4 linked regions of the Canis lupus familiaris genome follow. The protein of the gene in region 2 purifies or fractionates together with the protein of the main gene of each other region. This does not show direct contact. Links are inferred from orthologs where the notes say so. Each region holds a gene or a part of one and is shown on either strand. Other genes may lie near its edges.

Evidence for each region. The genes of interacting proteins can lie anywhere in the genome.
Region 1: the proteins of POLR1C (region 2) and POLR1F purify together in Homo sapiens (affinity purification with mass spectrometry; 3 studies listed by BioGRID and IntAct, counting the BioPlex papers as one, with this or other methods). This does not show direct contact. The link is inferred for Canis lupus familiaris from reciprocal best matches to the Homo sapiens genes POLR1C and POLR1F.
Region 3: the proteins of POLR1C (region 2) and POLR3H purify together in Homo sapiens (affinity purification with mass spectrometry; 5 studies listed by BioGRID and IntAct, counting the BioPlex papers as one, with this or other methods). This does not show direct contact. The link is inferred for Canis lupus familiaris from reciprocal best matches to the Homo sapiens genes POLR1C and POLR3H.
Region 4: the proteins of POLR1C (region 2) and POLR3C purify together in Homo sapiens (affinity purification with mass spectrometry; 5 studies listed by BioGRID and IntAct, counting the BioPlex papers as one, with this or other methods). This does not show direct contact. The link is inferred for Canis lupus familiaris from reciprocal best matches to the Homo sapiens genes POLR1C and POLR3C.

What each region holds. Positions count from the first base shown.
Region 1 is NC_049235.1:33,912,379-33,916,528, forward strand, and holds the start of POLR1F (DNA-directed RNA polymerase I subunit RPA43), read right to left. Parts: upstream 2,801-4,150; 5' UTR 2,751-2,800; coding exon 2,509-2,750; intron 1-2,508. UniProt on the Homo sapiens protein: Component of RNA polymerase I (Pol I), a DNA-dependent RNA polymerase which synthesizes ribosomal RNA precursors using the four ribonucleoside triphosphates as substrates.
Region 2 is NC_049233.1:12,166,452-12,170,547, reverse strand, and holds the start of POLR1C (DNA-directed RNA polymerases I and III subunit RPAC1), read right to left. Parts: upstream 2,801-4,096; 5' UTR 2,710-2,800; coding exon 2,641-2,709; intron 2,517-2,640; coding exon 2,445-2,516; intron 1,070-2,444; coding exon 962-1,069; intron 741-961; coding exon 608-740; intron 332-607; coding exon 212-331; intron 124-211; coding exon 1-123. Other genes in the region: protein YIPF3, read left to right, coding at 3,021-3,101, 3,724-3,921. UniProt on the Homo sapiens protein: DNA-dependent RNA polymerase catalyzes the transcription of DNA into RNA using the four ribonucleoside triphosphates as substrates.
Region 3 is NC_049231.1:24,684,336-24,688,463, reverse strand, and holds the start of POLR3H (DNA-directed RNA polymerase III subunit RPC8), read right to left. Parts: upstream 2,801-4,128; 5' UTR 2,585-2,800; intron 2,486-2,584; 5' UTR 2,468-2,485; coding exon 2,357-2,467; intron 1-2,356.
Region 4 is NC_049238.1:59,290,189-59,294,171, reverse strand, and holds the start of POLR3C (DNA-directed RNA polymerase III subunit RPC3), read right to left. Parts: upstream 2,801-3,983; 5' UTR 2,670-2,800; intron 2,343-2,669; coding exon of another isoform or gene 2,241-2,342; exon of another isoform or gene 2,152-2,240; intron 1,903-2,151; exon of another isoform or gene 1,769-1,902; intron 748-1,768; 5' UTR 728-747; coding exon 581-727; intron 1-580. Other genes in the region: E3 ubiquitin-protein ligase RNF115, read left to right, coding at 2,241-2,342. UniProt on the Homo sapiens protein: DNA-dependent RNA polymerase catalyzes the transcription of DNA into RNA using the four ribonucleoside triphosphates as substrates.

The sequences.
Region 1 (4,150 bases), on a different chromosome or scaffold from region 2:
CAGAATACAAGTTGTTCTGATTTTCCCTAAAGTTGTTTAGATAACTACTATAGGTAACACACTTTCCTCCCCCTCTTCTGGAGCACACGTGGCACCAGAAAGTCTGTTAAGTGTTAGACCTCTGACCTAACCAAAATGCCTTCTGCACACCCCTTTGTACTCTGTAAATGTGAACTAAGGCCCAAACTTTGTGGAGAATAGCTGTGCAGCTGCAGGATAATCACATGTCCAGTCCCCTATGTCAGTAAATTACCCAGAATCGAAGGGTGTGTAAAATGTATGGAGTCACCTACTTCATTTTCAAATCTCAAAGTGCCTTCTCAGTTTGGGGGATACTTTATTGTCCCTCCTCCACTTCCCAACACTCTGGTTTTCCTCATTTCTCAAACAAAGTGAAACAAGTCTTCCTGATTCCTCCTGATGGCGCCAAAGTCTGTAAATCTACCTATACACGATAAATGATTGACATTACAGTTCAAGGTTTCGTCCCTAATTAGAAATGTATAGTTCAATGTGTGCTGCTTTATTTGCCCTAAGTCCGAGTCTTTATCACACTGGGGTAGCCCACTACCCAGAGTGGTACTGGGGGGTGGGGGAGGGGAGGGTGTGGTGGGCAGTCCTCATTTGTTCAGAGCGCAACCTGCTCCATAAGGCCACACTGTCCATGGGTTCCTTATATCTCTGGGGTAATGGCTCGGACTTGGGACACTTCAGGTGGCTTCCTCCTAGCCTGTCAAGTGGAAGCACTGATTGGTTCCAGAAAGTAGTAAGTATATCAAACAATGCCTCTTTCCAGATTTTATGACCACTTTTATATCCTTAATAACTCTCAATTCCATACTCTCTAGTCATTTTCTCTTGGACAGTTGTAACAATCTCTTAATTGGTCTCCATGTCTACAGCCTCACTCAAGCCATCAGCTAATGCTATCAAGCGTGGTTTCTTCTTCAACTGTGTATCTGATCATGTCCCAGAGATCGGATATGCACTACTCTCTCCAGAGTGCACCAAATTTCAGAACTGGAGGGCACTAGGAGGACCAAGCGCCAAGCCTGCTTAAGCAAAGAGGAAAAAAAAACCTAGTAGATAAGAAGGAAAGAGCAAAATGTACATCCTGAGTGATCCCCCACGCTGCCTCTGCTCTCTTCAACTGCACACACTTTCTTTCCTCTTAACATAAATCTTACTCCAATTATATAGTACTTACAATTCTCTGACCAAAGCAGTCTATTTTTATCTACTATCCGTTTACGTTACACTTTTTATGCCTTGAATACTACCATCTCAGAGGTCCTAATATCAAATTCACTACTCTTTCTCTTAATATAACTTTAGACCTCTGTCAAATTTTAACATTTCATTCGATTTATCTGACATTTATATCTTTACTAGAGCTTACAGTTTCTTGAAACAGGGATCTTGTTTTTTCTTTGTTTTTAAATCCTAAGTCCCTAGTACATAAAACAGCCACCACACAAGGGTGCTGGTGCTTGGAATGAGCCGTACATCCTAGACTTGCTTGCTTCTTAACCTGTTCAGGATCCCTGGAGAAAGGGAACACTTTGGATACTTTGACCTAGAACACGGACAGCAAATTTCCCGAGGAGGGGGGTGGGGGTGGGGGGAGGATGTCATGAAATTTCTGAAGTGCAGTAAGGAATCCCCAGGAATTCCACTTGTCCCAGCTCCGGAACCTTTGCTTTTGAGGCAAAGCAGCCCTATTGCAATATTAAAGTACACATGCCCCCTTCCTTTGACCCTCCGTTCTTGTAACTCCGTTTCTTCTGAACACATTAAACGAACCACAAAGGTTTTTCACCCCCAAGCCCAACAGAATGGCCAGTTAGATTAATTAAACTGCTCTTAAAAACAAAACAAAGGGGGCATCCCTGGGTGGTTCAGCGGTTTAGCGCCTGCCTTCAGCCCAGAGCGTGATCCTGGGGTCCCCGGATCGAGTCCCGTGTCGGGCTCCCTGCATGGAGCCTGCTTCTCCCTCTGCCTCTCTATCATGAATGAATGAATGAATGAATGAATGAATAAATAAATAAATAAAAACACAGTACTTTTCTCGTCCCTGATCAGGTCCCAAGCAAGAGAACCCAGCAGAAGTATCTCTCGGGCAGCCCGTGTGGCCCAGCGGTCTAGCGCCGCCCGCAGCCCGGGGCGTGACCCTGGAGTCCCGGGATCGAGCCCCACGTCGCGCTCCCCGCGTGGAGCCTGCTTCTCCCTCTGCGGGGGGAGGGGCGGGGGCACCCGGGCCGACGGGGTTTCTAGGCCCCTGCTCTATTCTTCCCCCTGAACGCCATAGAGCAAGCTCCTCTAGCCCGTCCCCCTTCCTGCCTGTTACATGGACCGACTAGGCAGGTACCGGCCTTCCGGGCCCGAAGAAGAGTCCCGAGGGCGTCCAGGTGGCCAGGGCGTTCCTGCCCCCTCACGCCTCTTCTGCTACCTCGTCGCTACCCCCGCCCGTGCGCCGGCGCACGCAGGAAGGGCCCGAGGGGCCGGTACCTTTCGGAATAGCGCAGCAGCTCCGCGTCCAGCTGTTCCCGGATACCCGTGCGTTTCCGGTGAAGGTAGCGCGGCGAAAGCGCGATGTGTCTTCGGTGCGGCCCCGCCACCAGGCAGGAGTAACGGCTACTCACCAGCGCACAAGCCGCCGCGTAGGTCGGAAGCTCTAGGCAAGGCAACACGCCGGCCGGCCCCTCAGAGGCCGCCTTAGGCGGCGGAGACTCGCAGCAACCCGCAGCCATGCGCTTCGGCCAGCTTTCCCGCGGCGCCCACGGCTGACGCACGCGCCGCCGCCTCCTGCGGGCGCCCGGGTTCCACGTCATCCACCCGCCGGCCCGCCCCTAGGAAATTGCTCTCCTTGAGTCGCGTTACGCGCTTGTGACCAGCAGAGGGCAGCCGCTTTTCCGCCTGCGGGACGGCGGCGGGAGCGGAGAGCCGCGGCTCAAGTCCGGAGCGTGCTGCAGGCCCGGCCACCACCTCCTCTCCTCGGGGCAGCCAAACCGTCCGCTAACGTCCTTTTTTTTTTTTTTAATATTTTATTTATTTATTTATTCATGAGAGACACAGGCAGAGGGAGAAGCAGGCTCCTCGCAGGGAGCCCGACGCGGGTCTCGATCCCAGGTCTCCAGGGTCACGCCCTGGGCTGAAGGCGGCGCCAAACCGCTGAGCCACCCAGGGGATTCCCCGTAACGTCTTTTTTGTTTTTTTTTTTTTTGTTTTTTTTTTTTTAATTTTTTTATTTATGATAGTTACAGAGAGAGAGAGAGAGAGAGAGAGAGAGAGAGAGAGAGAGAGGCAGAGACACAGGCAGAGGGAGAAGCAGGCTCCATGCACCAGGAGCCTGATGTGGGATTCGATCCCGGGTCTCCAGGATCGTGCCCTGGGCCAAAGGCAGGCACTAAACCGCTGCACCACCCAGGGATCCCCTCTTTTTTGGATTTAATATGTAGACTTAATAGGGGTTCGCACTTTGATAGTTTCCAGTAATAACGTGGTCTGGTAAATTTTGCCAGCGTGGACAATACAAATAATAAACTTTAAAATTTTAGGGCATGTATTTTCTGCAGGGAATCCAGTCCTAAAATGCAGCCCAGATGCCTCAACTGCGAGACATCTGAAAATCAACCCATCATCTCTCTCTCCCGTCTGGACTCTCTGCTCAGCCTGTAACAACTAACTCAAGAGATCTTACCACTTTCCAAAGGGCTCAGCTCAGCTGGTCCCCTAGGAGCCTCTCTTGTACCCTCAAATATCGAGTCGGCCCCACGGCTTGTGGGGTCCACGGCGGAAACATCGGCCTATTGGGGATACTTCTGTCTGTCCTCACTTCCCAAACCGCAGAAGTGCCTGTGGAAGCTTAGTCCTGATGGTCAAGAGGACCCCCGGGAGCCCCTTCTCCCAAACACAAATAGAACCATGACTTGTTCCCATGGGCGCCCCAGGTTTCTCAGGGTAACACAGACTCCTTAATATGGCTAAGGTACTTACAAGACCATATAGGGATCTGCTGCCAGCCCCGGAGTCCCATTTATCACAATCCCCACTTTACCTTTTCTGCTAGCCACCACCCGAGTTCATTGATTCCCTTTCACCTTGCAACCTCTCTTTTCCATCACTTTCTGCTCCCTGGGAAAATATGAAT
Region 2 (4,096 bases):
CAATCTCCTGGCCAGGCCTCAGCTGAGCAATGAGGATATCATCATGCACGGGTCTGATCGTGCCCTCTGGGAAGAGGTCAGCCTGATTCCCCAGGGGCACCCATGTCATGTGCCTGGAGTACACTGGAGAAAGCACATCAGGAAAACATCAATCCTTAAAACTAGTACCCATCAAGAGGTGGGCCTTCCTACTCACCATACCACCACTCACCTTTGTGGTTCACATAGAGTTCATTGGGGTCAGAGGAATCTTTAGCAGCATGGGGGTTCCGTGTGCACCTGACTTGAAGCCGAAACTGCAGAGTATCTATCTCTGTGCCTTCATCATCCCCTGAACAAAGGATGAAAGTGGCAGCTCTTAAAGAACGACTGAGTATTTGAGTGCATTAATCTACACTTCTCATTTACTCCTCGGACAAATTTCCAATTTCAGAAGACCAGGGCAAGTGTTCACACAGATCAGAACTGATGTACCAAAACATTAGTGATTTGCTCATGGTCACAGTAATCAAGCCAGGATTTGAACGTAGGCAGTAGATCCTCTAGAATCTACTTTAGGAGACAGCTGTTCCCATTTTGCCACAATTTCGTTTTCTCAAGCGCTGACCTTGGTTCCGATACTCAAAAAGACGAGGATCAGCATGAATGGGAATAAGCCCCAAGCGATGAGCAAGGATCTCATCCTGGACAATGGATGTGTTGTTGTACACCAGGACCTTTTCCACAGCCATGGTTGGCACCTGCCCAAAAAATAAAATCATTCATCTACAGAGACCCTACAGACTCCCTATTTACTCCTACTTCCTGACACAGGGGGCCCTATTCCCAGAAAAACACCTGATGAAAAGTTCAGGAGGAATGCTCAGGAAAATGAAAGGAGCAACCTAAGAATTCTCCAAGTAAGGTGATGGCTCAGTTTCCACCCAACTCCGTCCCTGCCACCATGCCCACCAATAAATACCTCAGCTAATAAAATGCGTCGAAAAGCATTGGCAATGGCTGCATCAATTCCCACCATGTCGAACTCCAATGAGTTTTCATCCATGTGCACTACATCCACACGGAAATTCTACAGGGACAGAAAATGCACTAAATGAAGCCTTGGCCTCTGTGGAATCAATACCGTCCCTCTGGATATCCCCCAGCCCCAGCAACAATGTTCCCACTCACCCAAGAACCTCCCTTTGGCCAGATGTACCTCATAGCTGTTCCCTTCTCCCCCAATTCTTCATGAACTTCTTGAAAAGTTCCCATTTTTATCCTCTATTCATTTAAATCCTCCAACCAGACCACCCACAGAGACCATTCTACTCTGTCCTTTCTTACTAGACTCCTCCATCGGGCATTGATAGAATCCCTCCATTTTCCAACTCTGCCTTGGTTTCTGAGCACCAATCTTCTGGTTCTTTCTCCTCCAATGAATCCTTCTAAATTCACTATCTCCTACCCACTCCATAAAGTCACTATTTTCTGGATTTTTATCTCTCTCCAAAGTGACCTCAATCACGCTCATGGGTTTAACAACTATATATACAGAAAACTCCCAAATTCTCACTTCTCATCTCCTTTCAAACACACATTTTACTGGCCTGCTAGACCTCACATTCAGGAAACAATGCAGCATCATTCCCCTTCCCCAGACCTATTTTTCATCAGTAAATGGCACCACCATCCATTAAAGCAGTTCCTCAAGGTAGGTTATTTTATACTCCCTCCTCACAGCCCACATCAAAACAGTCACCAAATTTATCATGTCTCCTTTTTGCTCTACTTTCCTGATTATCATTTTAGTTCATACCTTCAACCTCAGCTCCTCTATGCAATTCTGTCACAAATCTGACTACCCTCTATGATCTTTCCCAACAGTTAAGGATGCAAATCAGATCACATCTGGCTCAGAGCTCTTCAAAACTTCCCCTATCACCTACAGTGTCTAAGATGCACTTCAATCTTGCCTAGCACTCATGCTGCCCGACTTTACATTCTAGCAATAATAAACTGGACGTTCTTGGAACACAGTTCACAAAGCCTTTATAATGTAGCTTCTAGTCTTCGTCCCCCCACCTTCACCCTTACCCTTTCTCAGATTTTACTCATCGTTCAGGGCTCAATTCAGATGTCATCTCCTGCAGGAAGGAAATCTTCCATACCGCTGCCCCGCTTTCCGTTCCAGATTAAGTGCCCCTCAGGGGTCACCCTAGTCACGACTGTCCTTTCTTATCGCTACCAACCACCTTTACATCATACTGGAGTCATTTATGCGTGCTCTTCAACAAGATTAAACATCTTGTTCGACGAACAGGGCACAGACCATGTACACGGAGGGCCTAGCATATTGCTCAATAAACGTTTTATGAACGCAGCGAATCCCACGGGCAGTTTCCAAAGCACAGGCCGCTCAGATCACACGATCCGTTCCCAATACCCTCTCCAGCCCCACCTACCTTCTCGAAGCGGTCTTGGTCCCAGGCATCATCATAGCCGGAATAGTTACCGGGAAAGTCGGTGGTATGAACCTAGACCAAAGAGAGACGAGTCTGCGAAGGGGCAGGTAGGGCAAACCCGCCCCAACTCCGATCCCAACTCATCCCTCCTGTTCCACTCTCATTTCTCTTGCCGAGTTCAAGGCCACGGGCTTACATTGCGAACCCCGAACTCCCCTAGAACCACGCGGGTCCGCATCTCTTGCACCGCCTGGGCGGCCGCCATCTTCTACCCCTCCACGTGACTAGGGCAGCAAACTGGCGCGCGCGTCCCAGTCGCCCTCCTTCGTCTCCATGGCAACGCACCGCCTCCCGGGATGTTAAATATCGCGAGATTCTGTGCAGCCTCCGTCCACGTCCCCAGCTTCCGGAAGTCGGTTTGGGCCAAACATCCGGGTTTCTCCTTTTTGCGTTCCGGCTGAACCCACCGCTCTTTTTCGCCCCTAGACATCTCCCTCCTTCAGGCCCACGTCTCTCCCACTCCTCCTCCGCGCGCGGGACTAGCGCGGGCTTCAGCGACGGGAGCCCTCGAGGGACATGGCAACTACGGCGGCGCCGGCTGGCGGCGCCCGAAGCGGGGCCGGCCCGGAATGGGGAGGGTTCGAAGAAAACATCCAGGTAATCGCCCCAGGGCTCCGGCTGCCGGCAGCCGCAGGGCCGGCAGCCGTCCTGAAGCGTCGCGGGGACTCTCCCTGGGAGCTTGGAAGTCTGCTCCATTTGCAACACTTGTCCTCTCCTTTGGCTCTTGGTGTACACGGAAGGTAGTGGGACTGGTGCTGACCTCAAAGGTCCAGACTGGTGCTCCAGCCAGAGGGCCTCGTGCCTCTGGGCCTGCCTGCTCTTGCTTTCGAGACAAGTTTGTTGGTCGATCGGGGCCAGGCATGGCGAGGGAGTGGGCGGTATTCACCGGCGCTGGCTAAAACCATGCTGTGTGCACAGCCTTGTTTGGGGATTGGAAAAGACAAAACGGGCACTTTTGCAGCCCTCTGAGGATTTGATAGGGAAGGTAGAAGAAAGACATATATGCAAGACAGGGGGTAGGTTTCCCAGGCTAGAAAAGAGAGCCAGACAACCAAGGATTCTGAGAGCAGATGAGGGGAAGAGAGTGGTATGATCTATGGTGATTCCAAGCCATATCCCCAGCAGTGGAAGAACAAAGTCCCAAATCCTGGGAGGAACGGAGGAGGACCCGCGGATGGAACAGAAAGGGCCTGCACTCTAGAAGCCATTGTCTTCACAGGGTGGGGGCTCAGCTGTGATTGACATGGAGAACATGGATGATACCTCAGGCTCCAGCTTTGAGGATATGGGTGAACTGCATCAGCGCCTGCGTGAAGAAGAAGTAGATGCTGATGCAGCTGCTGCTGAAGAAGAGGATGGGGAGTTCCTGGGCATGAAGGGCTTTAAGGGACAGCTGAGCCGGCAAGTGGCAGATCAGGTAAGCAGGATTGGATCCCTAGCAGGTGGAAAAGTATACTTAGGAAGGCCCCCAAGTGCTGGAGTTGATGTTAAAGTTCACCCCCATGTCGCCTAACCCATTAGAACTGTGTAGAAGGCCAATAGAAAGTGAGCGACAGGGACTATGGCCAAGAACCTCTCGCAGTACCTACCCA
Region 3 (4,128 bases), on a different chromosome or scaffold from region 2:
TCACCAGCCTGCTTACCTGCCACCAGTGTCATCACCTCCCAATACACACCCTGCAGGACTGTTCAAGGATTAGCAAGAAGCTCAGAGAACTCCAAGTCCGGGCCGGACCTCACCACAATGAGCCACAGAGCCTGGCTGCCTTGCACAAGATCTGTGCCCTTGGGAGGCCTGGATGGGATCGTGTCCCACATTGGGTACCTGCATGGAGCCTGCTTCTCCCTCTGCCTGTGTCTCCGCCTCTCTTTGTGTGTCTCTCATAATTAAATAAATAAAATCTTAAAAAAAAAAAAAAAAAAAAAGATCTGTGCCCTTGGCCAGACCACAGACCTCTTCTGTGCAGCTTCCTCTCAAATGATTCTAATATAAAAGACTCGTCTGAACAGGTCCCTGAAGGACCCATACCCCAAAGGGCTACATTCCCTTCTTGGACTTTTAACAGCTTTTTTTTTTTTAATTTATTTATTTATGATAGACACAGAGAGAGAGAGGCAGAAACACAGGAGGAGGGAGAAGCAGGCTCCATGCCAGGAGCCCGATGTGGGACTCGATCCCGGGACTCCAGGATCGCACCCTGGGCCAAAGGCAGGCGCTAAACCGCTGAGCCACCCAGGGATCCCCTTTTTTTTAAACAGTTTTTTTTTTTTTTTTTTTTTTTTTTTACTTTTTTTACCTTCTTGGACTTTTCACACCTTCTGTCACCACTATGCTCACACTTCATCCCTCCACTGACCCCCTCTACCTTCTACCTCACAACGTAACTGGAAGCCAATCACTAAGGACTTCATGAGTTCTCTCCACCAACAGCTGCAAACAACTCCCTTCCATGATCTCAGCCTCTATCTACAGAAGGGACTGGCCTCCTGTCTAAAGCCAGCCAACCTTCCTCTTGCTCCTTCTCAGCCTATCACCTCCTGCTATTCTACAGATGGAAATCAATACTGCCATGACATCCTGCAGGCCCCATGTGGTTTGGCTCCTGCCACCTTTCCAGCTTACTCTCCTCTCTTCCTCTCCAGGCCACACCAGTCCTCCTCCAGGTTATGATGGATGAAATATTCCCTCCTGCCACAGGGCCTTTACACATGCAGTTTCCTTTGCCTGCCCAACTCTTCTCTCTGCACAGCCCTTTCCCACTCTCAAAAATGAATCCCCAGGGTACCTGGGTAGCTCTGTTGGTGAAGCATCTGCTTTGAGCTCAGGTCATGATCCCAGGGTCCTAGGATTGAGTCCCAAGTCAGGCTCCCTGCTCAGCAGAGTGCTTCTCCCTCCCCCTCTGCCCCCCACCGTGCTTGTGCTTTCTCTCTCTTTTTCTCTTTCAAATAAATAAAATCTTCATTTTTTAAAAAGATTTTATTTATTTATTCATGAGACACAGAAAGAGAGAGAGAGAGAAAGAGGCAGAGACACAGGCAGAGGGGGAAGCAAGCTCCCTGCAGGGAGCCCGATGTGGGACTGGATCCCAGGACTCCAGGATCACGCCCTGGGCCAAAGGCAGGCGCTAAATTGCTGAGCAGTTTAGTCAGGCATCCCAAAATCTTCATTTTAAAAAATATATATATTTATTGGGACACCTGAGTGGCTCAGTGGTTGAGCGTCTGCCTTTGGCTCAGGGCATGATCCCAGATTCCTGGGATCGAGTCCCACATCGGGTTCCTTGCATAGAGCCTGCTTCTCCTCCCTCTGCCTGTGTCTCTGCCTCTTTCTGTGTCTATCATGAATCAATAAATAAAATCTTAAAAAAAAAGATATATTTAACAGAGAGAGAGAACGCGTGCGCTCCTTGCATGGAGCCTGCTTCTCCCTCTACCTCTGTGTCTCTCATGAATTAATAAACAAAATCTTAAAAAAAAAGAAAAGAATAAATCTCCTGATGGTTAACTCTATTTATTTGCGAGACAGAGACAGCGCAAGAGAGCATGAGCAGGGAGGAGAGGGAGAAGCAGACACCTCACTGAGCAGGGAGCTGAATGTGGGGCTCAATCCCAAGACCCTGCGATCAGGAGCTGAAGGCCGATCCTTCAGGGACGGAGCCACCCAGGGGCCCCTTAATGATGGTTAACTCTAAACCACTGTCCATCTTCACAGACACAGTGTGTGACAGCCATCATTATTTCCATTTTACAAATGGAAGCTGAGGCCCAGAGCGGGTAATCCAACAGGGTGCAATCTGGCATTTCCCCAGTTTCTGTTTTGACTCCAACATCCCACGTGCAGGTGAAGTAACTGAGCTCGGAGAAGTTAAGCTACTTGTCCAAGGCCAGGGTTTGGCGTGACCGGGGAGGCCTGCAGCGGGCAGGAGGGCAGCGCTGGGCCTCCCGTGCCAGGGCCTGTCAGCGACCCCGTGGGCCCCCGGTACCTTGTTGGCCAACTTTTTGTTCAGCTCCTCGGCAATGGAGTCGTTGAGCTTCCTCTCAAACTGCCACGGGGGGATCCGCACGGTGTCCACCATCTCCACCAGGACGAACATCGCGCCTGCGCCGGGGCCCTGGGGGCGGGAGGCTCAGTCACGCGCCGTGTGGGGCGGTGGGCGTTCCCGAACCCCCTCGGGCGCGTCCCCGCCGCTGAGCGCCCCCCACGCACACACCCAGGCCGGCGGAGGGGCTGCGCGGTGCGGCGCCGGGTACCCCGTGCGGGGCGTGTGCAGCCTCTGCAAACTGAGGAAACTGAGGCTCAGCAGGAGACGCCCTCGCTCCAGCGAGAGAGCGCGAGCACCCGCCGCACGACCCGGTCCCGCCACGCGCCACGCGCCGCCATGCACCGCGCTCCCACGCGCAGCCGACTTCGGGCGAGATTCCGAATCCCGTCGCTTCCGGAGAACAGACCAATAAGAAGCCTCTGCCCGCCCCCCAACGCGACGCGGCGCGACGTAGGGCGGGGCCTCCCCGTGGGCCCCCGCGGAGCCGGCCGCCCTTCGACCGCGCTTCCTGGTTGCTAGGCAACGTGGGCGCGATCCCGACCTCACCTGCCCGGCGGGGCTGTCGCTCTTCCTCTCCGTCCCGGGCGGGGCGGTGCGCTGCGCCCGGCCAGAGGGATCCTCTCAAAAGCCGGCACAGTTTGCTTAGACCCCTTCAGGACCCTGGAAGCGGGAGATTTATCTGGAAAGGAGCAGGCGGGACCTTTCTGGGGTGATAGGAATGTTTCCTATCTTCTTCTAGGGGGGTGGGTTACACAGGTGGGGGCCTGGCAGTCAGTAGGGCATGCAGCTCTTGTTAACAGGGTTGTGAGTTCAAGCCCTACATTGGGCATAGAGGTTACTTAAAAATAAAATCTTAAACAAAAAACAAAAAACAACGCATCAAACTTGACAGTTAAGATCGTTGCACTTAAGTAGGCAGATTACATCTCAATTGAAAAATGATCATTGGGGATCCCTGGGTGGCTCAGTGGTGGCTCGGCGGTTTAGCGCCTGCCTTGGGCCGGCCGAGGGCGTGATCCTGGGCTCTGGGGATCGAGTCCCACATGGGGCTCCCTGCCTGTACGGAGCCTGCTTCTCCTTCTGCCTGTGTCTCTGCCTCTATTTCTCTCTGTGTTTCTCATGAATATATAAATACATAATCTTAAAAAAAAGAAAGAAAAGAAAAGTGATCATGAATTGGACCAAAAAACAACCCCAGTACCTTCCCACTAAATTAATAATAAAGTCTGATACTTTGAAGCACCTGGCTGGCTCAGTCCATGGAGTGTGGGATGATCTCCAGGTTGTGGATTCGAGCCACACCTTGGGCGTAGAAATTACTTAAATAAATTGAGGCTCCTGGGTGGCTCAGTCAGTTAAGCATCTGACTTCAGCTCAGGTTATGATCTCAGGGTCCTGGGAAAGAGCTTTGTGTTGGGCTCCCTGCTCAACATGAGCAGTGTGAAGTCGGCTTCTCCCTCTCCTTCTCCCCACCCCTCCCCCCTGCTCGTGTGCTCTCTCTAATAACAAATAAATATCTTTTTTTTTAAGATTTTATTTATTTATTCATGAGAGATACACAGAGAGGCAGAGACACAGACAGAGGGAGGAGCAGGCTCCATGCAGGGGGCCCAATGCAGGACTCCATTCCAGGACCTGGGGATCACGACCTGAGCTGAAGGCAAACACTCAACCACTGAGTCACTCAGGCGCCCCAATAAATAAATATCTTA
Region 4 (3,983 bases), on a different chromosome or scaffold from region 2:
ACATGTGAATGGAAGAAAACAGTAAGATTCCTCCCTCTGACACTCATTTCCTCTGATCATTCAAAGTATAATGTGGGGCACCTGGGTGGTTCAGTTGGTTAAGCATCTGACTCTTGATTTCAGCTCAGGTCATGATCTCAGGGTTTTGACATAGAGCCCCTACATCAAGACAAAGGCTGAGGGTGGAGCCTGCTTCAGATTCTTTCTCACCCTAGCCGGAATATGTGTGTGTGTGCACAGCTTCTCTCTAAAAACAAAACAAAAAAACCTTTCGAAGTACAATGTACTTCCCCTCCGTTATTCTTATTCCTTAAAGGTAGCACTGAGATTAATAGACTTATTATGAATAAGCAAGGTGTAGCATATTAGGAGCAAAGATTTGCCTAAGAAGCCATGATGAACCAGGAATACCTTGAGAGCAGAACCTTGAGGCCTACATCTTATCCCCCCCTCATTCCCCAAATAACACTGTTCTGATCCTAGGGCAGACTTTCTCTCTTTTTTTGTTTTGTGGGGTGGGGAGGAATAATATTTAAAGGTAGATAAAGAATGAAAGCAAATTAATGCCGTCCACACATACCTGATCCAGTGATGTTCCTGTGTCATGGGCAATTACTCTTAGTGGCTGGCTGCCAGTCCTGATTAGGTGGACTCCAATTTTTTCTACAATCTCTCCAAAATGCTCTTGTAGCAACAAAGAGCAAAGTTTAATTTCTGCTTGAGTCATTGTACTGAGAAGTCTCAGAGCTAGAGGGAAAAAAGGCCATATGATGGATAGTTTTCCTCTTTTGTTGGAAGTAGTGCAAATTCGTGTACTTTCTAGATGGCAATTTTAACAGTATATCTTTAAAAAATTTCATTTTAGATACTGTCTCAAGAAAATAAAAGTCACTGTAATTTCCCTTATTATACTGATATGCTGGAAACAACTGAATGTCTAACAATAGGAATTAACTCAATAAATGATGGCATACCCATACATTGGAATACTAGCCACCATTTAAAACAAAGTATAATACATATGAACATAGAAAATTGTTCCTTAAGTGAAAGAAGCAGGTCACAAAGCAAAACGTAGAGGACAATTAAATCATAATGAAAAACAAACAAACAAAACCGCAAGAAAAATGCATAGAAAAAAAGACTGGAAGACTATATGTCAAATTTACTTTAATGGGATTATGAGTGATTCTAATTTTCTTTAAAAGTTGGGTGTAGATGATTTTGCGATGTCACGGACTTTAGATTCAATACTCCATTGCTTGGAAGAATTAAGGCCACTGTTCACGGCCGTTGGGAATGAACAGGTAGTGTCACCTCAGTCCATAAAGGAAATGACAACTTAGAAGAAGAAAAGGAGGCAAAGGAAAGCTTCTCAACTGGGTGTTTCAAACAGGAGATGAAGTATGTTGTCTGAAAGGCAGTATTTAATTCTGAAATTTCTACTCCTTGAGAAAGTAAACATACACAGAAACAGACACAGCTGACCCTAAAGTATAATTACTTATTATCCCAAGGGCTACCAAGCATCGAGTTGTTCAGTTAGTCTCCCAAATCCCCAGAGGCCAAGTCTCCGCCTCTCAGCTCTATATTCCCATCCGCATGTGCTTGGGGAAGCATCCCGGACCCTGTCCCATCCTGCAACAGGACTTCCAGGGAGCCTACTTAGCTCCCGGCTCTTCACTCCCTTCACGCAGGTCCCCGTTCCAGACTCGGTCCCCTGGTCCACAGACAGGGCCGCTTCGTCAGGGGAGCATTTTCCACTAACCTCGGGGTCAACGCAATCTAACAATGCGGCTTCTTGCGGGTCCCACCGGCCGCCGGGGCAGAGGGGGAGCCCACGGCCCTCCCTCGCAGGCGGACGGGCAGCCAGGAGGAGGGAAAGGGGAACCACGCGTGCCGCTCTACCCCGGAGTTTCGGTGGTTTCCGGTGACGCTCTTTCTTTCCTCTCGCTGGAAAGCTGGAGGACCGGCGAGCCGCTGTCTGAGGAGCCGGCGGGCAGGCTGCGGCGGGCGGACTCTCCTTCCTGCGCCTCTTTGGTGCCGGGAGGCGGGCCGCGGGGTCGCCGTCCGCGCCGCCGGCTCGCTGGGCCCGGCCGACTCACGTGACCGACGCGGCCTCCGGCGGCCCGCCGCACTTAGGAAGCGGCGGCGGCCGAGGCGACGACCGCAGCCCGGAGGTAGCGGCCTGGCGGGGGACGGGCCGCTGCCCTCTCGGACGGCCGCGGCGGAAGAGAAAGATGGCGGAGGCCTCCGCGGCTGGCGCGGGCGCAGGCGCCGCTGTCGCCGCGCACCGGTTTTTCTGCCACTTTTGCAAGGGCGAGGTCAGCCCCAAACTACCGGTAAGAGCCCCGTGGCCCCTGCGCTTGGGCATCCGCGGGGATCCTTCGCCCCGCAGTCCCCGAAGGGGTCTTCAACGCCCCGCACAGCCCGGATTTTTCTGACACCAGCCTTCCAAATGCCCGCTGCCCGCTGTTTTCTGGTCTCCGGCCCCAAATCCTGGGCGTCCCGGCCCTGGCTCCAGAGCTCCCGCCCAGCCCTTTTCCCCTTCGGATGTTCCACCTGCCCCTCGCTCCCACCCGGCCCTTCACCTGCGTCGCTTCATCTTTTTTTCCTCTCGCAGCAAGTTCTGACAACTCTCCCCTTAGTTTTCTTTCACTCTTTCTTACCTTGTCTCTATCCCACAATGACCTCTCTTTCCCCCCTCTCGATATCTTCTGCACTTCTCACCTTCCTCTACGGCCTTTTTCACTTTTAATCGGACACCCCCGCCCCCCAATCCCCAGGGGAGCCAAATAGCGGATTGCTGAGGGTTGTCCCTGTTCGCTTGTCTCTAGGGAAGGAAGGAAGAAAGCGCGGAGAGAGAGAGGGTTGGAAGGTAACTGTGGGGAGGTGAGGATTTTGCTCCTCAGTGGTTTCCAGGGTTCTTGTGAAAGTGAAAACAAGTGTGCTAATGACTTGCAGACTGCCTTGTCCGTCCTATCACTATTGAAGGAAATGGCTTTAGGAAGAAGTCAGGACATGTTGTCCTGCTGCCCGTGTTTTAGCATCACCTCCCTTCCCCGCCCCGTTCCCCGATTCTGTCTCTTCACTTAATAAAAAGACCCATGATAGAATGCTGGGGACTGGCTCCTCTGACATAAGATTGGTTTTCACCAGTTTCTGCCAGATTGTCTGTTAGCCCCTGGAGAGTGGTGCAATCGTTGTGAAGAATGTGCTTCTACAGCAGGCTAGCCAGCTACAACCCTCCAAACCCAGCTCTTGTGTGTTGGGTTATAAGCTACTACAGGGAGACCCACAAGAGTGAATGTAGACTCTACCCTTGGCCAGCCATCTTTAGAATTAGTTATGGTTGTTCTTTTTCTTGGAACTATCCAGCCTCAGCCTTAAGACAGGGGGGCTATATAACAACCCACCTCTGTATTTACTGTGTCTCAGATACAGCCTGTGAGAAATCCTACTAAATGTGTCTGCATGCATGTCTTAGTTTTTAATTTTTTTTTAATTTTTATTTGTTTATGATAGTCACAGAGAGAGAGAGAGAGAGAGGCAGAGACATAGGCAGAGGGAGAAGCAGGCTCCATGCACCGGGAGCCCGACGTGGGACTCGATCCTGGGTCTCCAGGATCGCGCCCTGGGCCAAAGGCAGGCGCCAAACCGCTGCGCCACCCAGGGATCCCTGTCTTAGTTTCTAGAAACACAAATGGAGTCTAGTGAATACATGCCTCAATGGTATTTTAGCTTCTTCACCAAAAGTTGTGCTTTTTCATGCTTTTAGGGCATTTTCTTTCCATTTGCCCCACCCCATCCAGGGTCATAGTTTCATCTATGTGCTATGTTACTTTTGCCTGCTGGTTCAGCTCTGTGTGTGTGCAGGTTTTTTTGCCATGTTTCAGTGCTAAGAAGAGCAGGTGCCTTGGTGTCTTGTTTTTTGTTTTTTTGTTTGTTTGTTTTTGTTTTTTCTTTTGCTAGTGGACAGTAGA